2 linked regions of the Arabidopsis thaliana genome follow. The protein of the gene in region 2 interacts with the protein of the main gene of each other region in a pairwise test. Each region holds a gene or a part of one and is shown on either strand. Other genes may lie near its edges.

Evidence for each region.
Region 1: the proteins of ATG8B (region 2) and AT5G65480 interact in a two-hybrid assay, tested with the Arabidopsis thaliana proteins (one large-scale study listed by BioGRID).

What each region holds. Positions count from the first base shown.
Region 1 is NC_003076.8:26,174,501-26,178,725, reverse strand, and holds AT5G65480 (uncharacterized protein), read right to left. Parts: upstream 2,706-4,225; 5' UTR 2,554-2,705; exon of another isoform or gene 2,346-2,553; intron 2,002-2,345; 5' UTR 1,900-2,001; coding exon 1,485-1,899; intron 1,339-1,484; coding exon 1,292-1,338; 3' UTR 809-1,291; downstream 1-808. Other genes in the region: AT5G65490 (suppressor-like protein), read left to right, coding at 60-196, 296-456, 544-723; AT5G65470 (O-fucosyltransferase family protein), read right to left, coding at 3,822-4,225.
Region 2 is NC_003075.7:2,327,622-2,332,148, forward strand, and holds ATG8B (Ubiquitin-like superfamily protein), read right to left. Parts: upstream 2,970-4,527; 5' UTR 2,439-2,969; exon of another isoform or gene 2,323-2,438; 5' UTR 2,306-2,322; coding exon 2,269-2,305; intron 1,837-2,268; coding exon 1,781-1,836; intron 1,702-1,780; coding exon 1,649-1,701; intron 1,363-1,648; coding exon 1,244-1,362; intron 1,146-1,243; coding exon 1,042-1,145; 3' UTR 821-1,041; downstream 1-820. Other genes in the region: AT4G04614 (uncharacterized protein), read right to left, coding at 1-63, 140-293. UniProt on the Arabidopsis thaliana protein: Ubiquitin-like modifier involved in autophagosomes formation. May mediate the delivery of the autophagosomes to the vacuole via the microtubule cytoskeleton.

The sequences.
Region 1 (4,225 bases), on a different chromosome or scaffold from region 2:
CATCTCTTTGTTAATTTCAAGCTCAACACATTAATTTTTTTTTTTCTGGACTTATGTAGGGATTTCAAAGAAGTGAGTATAGATGTTGATCGTTTCATGAAAGATATTGAGTCAATGCTAGGAAGCCAAGGTCGTGACGAACAAGCTGATGATGACAGTGATGGCTCTGAAGGATCTTCCATGGACATGGATTTTGGTATTTCCTAAACTTTTTTTTTTTTCCTAATGGCAACATATACTGATCTATAAGGTGTGAAATGTGATGTGGGACTTACTAAAATGTTATGGTATGCAGATGACGTTGAAGATGATAGCGAAGGAGAAGAATCTAACGAAGATGCTAAGGAAAGCTTTGAGGAATCCTACTATGGAGCAATGAATGAGGAACTGAAAAACTCAACTCTTGAGAAAAGCTTTGAAAATGTGAATCAACAACATTCTTCTAAGCAAAACGAGGTAACTCTCATAACTAGACTCAGTGAATTTAGGAGCTTAGATTTTGACTGTAATGGTATTTATGAGATGAATGTAATGTCTCTGCAGGAATCATCAAAAACTAGAGATGAGAAGGATGATGAGTTTACACCAGTTGATGCAGATTTTAACCTTGTTAAGAACCTACTTGAATCCTACTCTTCACAACAAGGACTTCCTGGTCCTGCTTCCAATTTGCTCGGCCTCATGGGTTTGCAGCTTCCAAAAGATTCCGGCGACAAAAACTGAATGCTTATCAAAATGTAGTTTGTTTTTGGGTTCACTTTGTTTAATCACATAATCGTGAGTAACGTTGTTGGGGAAGTTTTTGTGTTGTCGAAAGTAAGCACATGACATGTGATTTCAAGAAAACAACATATGTACATGTACATTACTACTATTACACATCATCAAACCACAAAGGAACAAAAGAAAAAAGATTTTTTTTTTTTTTCTCCTTTTCCAAACCCAATTTATCTCGACCACAGAAGTGAAGCAGAAACGCTTTCACAACCGGAAAAAAACACCCACATGAAAAATATCCAATACTCAAATCATATCATATTCATCTTCATGTTGCTAGGTCTCCATCAGCATCATCTTTGTCCATTAGTAGATTCTTGAGATATGACTTGGTGTTTTGTTGTCACTCGCTTCAAACAGAAAATCAAAAGAAGTCTCCAGAAGCTATATCCACGAACGAATCTTGCTTCTTCTTTTTTTTTATTTTCCTTTTCTTTTTTTTTTAGATTATTCGATGCTTAAATCTCGATACTGAAACAACAGAGAACTAGTCTTATTCTTCCCAATCTCCAATTTATAGCTTCCCCATAGACGACAGCCACTGTTCCATGTTCTTCCCATCTGCAGTTTACATGTCATCAGAACAAAGAACAAATCAATTTACAAACAAAAGACTCAAACCAATTACTTAAGTTCTTAAAAGAACATGCAGATAATTTACATGATAGCTATTAATGAATGATGATGATAATGGAAACAAACATTACCAGGAGCAGCAGGAGAGAAGAAGCCATTCGGAATCTGATTCCCTGAACCATCCATAACTTTCTTGTAAAGAGGAACCAAAACCACAAAGCCACCACAATCATCATCCTCAGCTTTAAAACCTGGTCCATGTGGCTCAACCCAACCAATTGACCACTCTGGATCATCAGGTTCAGGAAACACCACATTCCCAATCTTATCCTCTTCCCCTCCTGATCCTGATCCTCCTCTTCCAATCCATCCTCTCTTGGTCTTCTTCACTGATGAAGAGGAAGAACCAGTCTTACTAGTAGTAGTCTTCTTCAGTGAAGGACTAAGTGAAGAAGATCCTTTAGGAATTGACTCTTTCTTCTCTCTATCTTTAGTGTTACTACCACCACACAACCACCTCGGAAGACGAGGAAAAGAGACTGCCATCTTTTTTAATGTTTCCTTTCTAAAAAAAAAACTCCGAACCTCTCCGGAGAAAACTCTTATCAATCAGCCATCATGTATCGATGCTTTATCTTCTACTTCAACCTGTTGACAATTTAAAAATAAAATCAACCATCAATAAAACAATCATAATGTCAACATAATGATGACACTGACCAAACACAAAGACTTTAACACAAATTTCAGATGCCAATAGAGAAAATCTCTTATCCATTAATACTGTTTATGATGTGATCGATTAGATTAGATTAACTCATCAACATAATATCAAACACGAGATTTTATGATTAAAACAGAATTTTTTCTTCTCAATTTCAATTTTCAATGAAATTTCAGGATAAACACAACGAAGATCTCAATTTTTTCTTTTTTAAATTTTCACTCGATGATTCTTCATCAATGGAAAGTAATTAATGTTTCATCAGATCGGTGGTCCAATTAAAAAAAACAATCGCTAAAAAATAGAAAAGCGAAAGCGGTCGACAATTGAAGAAACAAAGGATGATCATCAAAAGCCTCCGATGTCCGTCAAAAGACGGCAAGGCTTCGCCGGAAAATTCGGCGGAAATAAATGCGAAAAAATCGGAAGGAAGAAGAGAGAAAAATCTCCGGTAATTGCGAAACGTAGTAAATTACCGAGAAAAATAAGAAGGAAGGGAAAAAATCAAATCGACGATCGAAGAAAGCGTAAGAATAGCGTCGTTTCGTCCGTCGTCGTCTCTGACTCTCTTTCTCTTCTTCTTCTTCTTCTTCTTCTTATTCTGACTTTTCTCTGACTTTGTACAGAGAAGCTCATCTTCTGCTCTGCTTCATTTATATTACTCTCTTTTCTCCTTTTTTTATTTCTTTTGTTTATTTATTTTAGGCCGTTTTAATTGGGCCTCGCTTCTGCAAAGCCAATAAAGATTGATCCGACGGTTGGTAGCGGTTTACTTGCTTTCGTGGCAACTGTCGGTCCACCGTTCTACTATACACTTCATAACACTTGATTATATCCCATTCAGAAAAGTAAAACAAAAAACAAATATCAGGGATTTATACGTAATAAATCAACATTTTATATTTAATAAAACAAATCGATTTTCTTGTTAATTTTAATTTTTGGTATAATGATGATACAAAATCTTGGAATTATCAATCGGAAATAATTAAAGTTCATGCATTTCCCCCGATTCAATCATCTGGTTTCTCTATGGATTTTTGTGTAATTATAGAGATGCTTAATTAAAATCTCTATTAAAATCAATGAAATTTATACTACTCGTATATCACAAGGGTCAAGGATTGATCTTAAAACTTTAAGTACTTTATTAAAACATCACCCACCCATAATAAATGGTATGAGTAATAAATATGTTAATATATTTAATTAATTAACAACGGTCGCCAAAAAACCTGCAAAATTATGGGTAACAGACGTCATAAAAAGAACAAAACAAAGAAACAAAATTCTAGGTTCCTTTTTCCAATAGGTCGTCAGCTTTTCTTGGCCACAATTCAAGGCTCTACTAGTGCTAATTTATTGTTCATAAAGTTTCACATCTTCAATTCTCAAATATTAGAATAAATTCTTATAAGATGATTACAAAATAAAAATAGTGCATTCATCAGAATCTGAAGGTTGATGAATCTGAAGGGATTATTACTAATAAGCATATTCTAGACACTTGTGGTTGTTAATAAGGGATTATCCACTTGATCTTCTTTACTTATTTTTGATCAAATTATCATTATCGCTACAATAATTTGTAATATTCATTCACAATCAAATTTCTAATCAAACTATACTCTTTTTATTAAGCCTCAAGAACACAAATCTAAACACAAACTAGCCTCATCAAGAATCAGAGTTTTTATTTTTATTCTTATAAGAAATATCTAAAGATCAAGACTTTAAAAACTAATCAAACATGGCACATACAATCAGGAGCAGGATAAGTATAAATCGACTGTTTTGGTTTCCTTAACCGGATCTGTCCTTGTCTATTCACATGTCCTTCACCAAGCGCTTGCTGAAAATCTACCCAAGTGATGCTTTTGTTGAGGAAAAGCTGTCCTATTAACGCCATGTTTGGTCTGATCGTCTTGAGATTCTCGAATGTTCGATGACCAACAAGAGCGTTGTGCATGTTTCCAGGTGATGCGGAGATGAAAATGTCGCTGTGCATACTAACGTAGTAGTCAAGTGCAGCTAATAAAGAAGCTTTGCCCTTGATTCGAGCTCGTTCTTCAGAAGATGCAAGACTTCTTTTGTCTTCCATTCTTGGGAATACTTGTCTTAATGTTGAGATTCTAGCTTCTCCTCCAT
Region 2 (4,527 bases):
TGTAACCATGCTGCTGCAGAGATTCATAGTCAAAAGCTTTCTTATCTTTCTTCGCAAACCTCGCTGCAACCGTAAAAAAAAAAACAAAGTTACATAAAAGAGCTCTCACAAAGTTAAAACAATGAAGCTTTTCTCCTACCTATTGGCTTCTTGCTCTTTCTCTTCTTCTTCTTCTCCCCAATCTCTGTATTATCCACATTTGAATCAGAAGCAGAAGACGATGATGATTCCTCAGAAGAGTCTTCATCATCATCATCATCATCATCATCCCATCGCATCAAACCTTTCTTCATGATAACAACTCTAACACAGAATTGAATTCTCCATTAGTCCAATTTTACAATCCAAAAAGCTCAAAACTTTAAGAGAGAAAGTATTCAACTTTCCTGATTTCTCTTCAACGATTTACTAAAATCATTTCCCAATAAGACAAACTCGTCCAGCAATTCGAAAACAAATCAAGTACGAATCTTTGTAATCGAATTGAGAAACCCTAAATTGAATTGAAGGTTCACGAAGATACCACAAATCTAATTAGAGTATAACAAAAGCTTCGTACCTTGCCGGTGTAGTTGACGAAGGTAGGAGAACGATTCGCGGCGGAGACAGCAACAGTCGCAAGATCAGAAGCTATACTCGGTCCATGTCCGTAGAACCAAGAGAATAATATAAGTCTCGAATTTTCCAATTCAATTTTTGGTTTGTGCTTGGTTTGGTTTGGTTTTTTTCGGTTAATTCAATTTTAGGATTTTTCTTCGGTTTAGACAATTTAGCTAATTAGTAAATTGATCAGACGAACTTATCAACGTTGATGATGATATTACTATAGAGGTTATTTTATTCAATGGCAATAGAGAAGATGCAGAGGAAACAAAACAAAGAAACTAGAGAGTCAAATTAGAATCTTGTTTCAAATACCATCTTCAAATGCAAGAGATAGTAAGAGAGCTCAAAAGGTTAAACCAAGAAAGTAAAATGACATTATTAAGGTCGACGAGAATGTACAATCATCAAGAGGATCAGACGTAGAAGCTGAGGTAATTAGCAGTAGAAAGATCCACCAAATGTGTTCTCTCCACTGTATGTCATGTAGAGAAACCCGTCTTCGTCTTTGTGTTCTTCGTAGATTGCAGACATCAATGCCGCTGTTTGTAAGAACCAGAAAAGAGAGAAACCATATTTATACATGAACCATAGAAGTAGAAGATTCACACAAGGTTTAAAAAGTGTTAAAATCCTTTACCAGTTGGTGGTAATGTGTTCTTGACAAAGACAAAGATGGCTTTTTCAGCTCCAAGCTTGATTCTTTTCCTCACAACGTACACAAATTGGCCAATGGTTAGATCAGCTGGTACAAGATACCTAAAGAGAAGAAACAGGTGTCAGCAAAAAACATCAAAACCAGCAAAAAATAATGCTATGCAATTCAATCTCTGTATCTAGAAACTGCTAAACTGTACCAAGGGACAAGTTTTGAAGAATGAGAACTATAGTTAGACTCAAAATTTCATCAGCTAGTGATTAAAAGGATTACCGGATCATATCACATTTCCATTAGACTCAAAGGAGATTGAAAGCTAATTTGTGATTTGATACCATTATGATCCAACAAGAGAGATAGAGATAATATGTAAAACAAATTACTCACTTCTTCTTGTCAATGTCAGGAACATCACTCTGTCCAGCTTTTTCCACAATCACCTGTATTGAGTTCTCTAATTAGAAACTTAGGGTGACACTGTAAATCTTGTTCCGTAAAGTGAGAGTTTAGAAAACATACGGGAACTCTTTCAGGGTATTTCGCTCTGATACGAGTAGACTCAGCCATTCTCATCTCTGAAACCAAAACAAAACCATAAAAAATCAGTCACAACTAACGGATTATACAAACACATGAACACATCTTAGTGACATGTAATTCAAGTAACTTCCAGGAAAATTCCAGAGGCACAAGTACTAAATCTTTATAGATTCAACAACAAACTAGGTCTAATAACTTAATCGTGTTAATGTAAATCAATGGAGAATACAAACAGAGTAACCAATATCAGAGATCGAGAATCAGAACCAACAAACTCGTGATCAGGCTAATCAAAACTTGAGTTCCTTTAACAAAGATCATAATCGTAACACAATCCAAAGCCCAAAAGATCGAAGAAAACCAAAGAAGTAAACAACTATCCTTTAAACGCTTATCGAGTGACATCAATCAAGCAAAAACCCTACAGAAATTGCAAAAAGTAAAAAAGAAGAAACAAGGAAACTAACCCAGAGGATTAGAAAGCTTGAAGGAGTTCTTCTCCATGATGATTCGGTTAGTATCTACGATGATTAAGAGAAACAAAACTCGAAACTTTATCTGTTAGGCTAAATCGGGAAAAAAACCCAAACCACAAAAACTCGAAATTGACAAAGTGGAGAGGCGAAATCAAACGTACCCAAAAGACGAAACTAGGGTTCGATGATGATCAGAGGAAAAAAAAATGAATTTTGATTGTAGAAGAAGAAGAGGATCAAAAAAATGAAAAAAGGAGAGAATATATATAAAGGAAACAGAGAGGATGGATTTAGGGTTTAGTGATTGTTACCTGCACGGCACCCAAACTTATTACTTGGATTTTAATTAGTTACGATGCTTATCTTACGTCAGCGAGATGATACGACGTCGTTGGATTGTAGTGGTCATGAGTTTGTGAACTATTTATTGGGCCTTTATAGGTTTGGATCTCGTTTGGGCTTTTCTGTCATTTACATGATCAGGACTACTAGGCGTGGACAAATAAACCAACTCGAATATACCGAATCAAAATCAAAGCAAAACTAATTAAATCAAAGCAAACCAAAAATTGGAAAATATTCGAATGGATACTAAATTCTATAAATGAAAGAACCGAAAGAACCAAAACTAAATGGATACTAAATATTATTTATTTTTAGACTACATAATTAAAAATAATTGAAAAGATATATAAAATAGTAAAAATACTCGAAAAAATAACCGAAAATATTCAAAAATGATCGAAAATATCCAAAATAACCGAAATATCCAAAAATATTCAAAGCAAAATAATAGAATGGATATTAAATTTTAAAACTGAAAAAACCGATACGAATCAAACTTTCAAAATAACCAAATGAATACTAAACTTTAGAACCGAAAAAGTTGAAACCGAATAGATACAAACTGAAACCGAATGGATAACCGAACTATTAGGACTAAGGACTACAATTAACAATTTTAGTTTGTTCCGATTGATACCAAATTACCAATCATAAAGACATAAAAAGGGTAAGAAAGCAGCAGAACTGAAAACTATTTCTAACCACTATTTTTATTTATGTCAAAAGTAAGACTGGTAAAAAACAAGGTTAGAGGTTTTAGGTATATAAAAAAAACAATAAACAATACCAAAATAGTTACAACTTTTTTTTGTTAAAAAAAATAGTTACAACTTTTTTTTAAAAATCTCGTTTTTCAACGTTTTCGTCACTAGTAATAATTAGAAGTTTAGAACGGTAAAATACTGCAACCATACGAGATTACCAATCAAAATCTAACTATTTGGTTCGCCTACTGTTTTTTTTTTACCGTGTTGTTTTACTACTAATCATACCAATATAAAAATCTTTGCTTCTACTATCAATCCTTTTTCTATATTTAAAAGCATTATTGAAGTCTAATGTGATGTTTTCTCGTTACATTATTTTCTTCTCGATATCCCATAGTTTTAAAGTTTATTACATTTAATCACCTTTTTTTTGGTCTCGTTCACTCACCGCTATTAAATATCTTATAACTATAATCAAACAAAAAAACATTCAAAACTATTCATAAAAGAGTTCAAAGGAAAATCATGGATTCAATCCTTTATATGTACACCTTCGATATGTGAATATATGACATTGATCGATTGATATGGTTGAAAATGTCTTCAGAATTGGAAACTCAGCATTTTAGGGCTTATTTATTTTTGCATGAAATCGGCTAAATTAATGATATTTAGTAGCAGATTTGCCAAATACATAATTAGCCAAAGATGGACATAGCTAATATTAACAAAGAAAGAAAGATATCTAATTTATATATAACATTGTCGATAGCAAACGACAAAATCTTTCACCAAAACATGGTAAAGAACTCAACTCCAATTAAAGGTTCTAAAGGAGATGCCCCTCTCTAGGCTCTAATTTAAGATCATAAAAAAACCTTCAAAGAGAAACCAAAAACAACAGAAGAACATAAAACGGGACCCATGCATGGGGCTGACAAGTCATCATCATCACTATGATACTTATCTACTCTAAATAACACATTGAAAAATAATAACAACAATAAAGAAAAAAAAAACTTAACAAAAAGACTCTTGGTATAGTGATCCCCACATGATGATGACGACAATGACATTGATAATGATGATGATGTGGATACCATAAAGTTGAGTTTTTCATGATGATAATGTTAAACAAGAGTTATGGGATTCATATTCCATGCACATGGATGATAATTATGGTGATGATGATGATGAG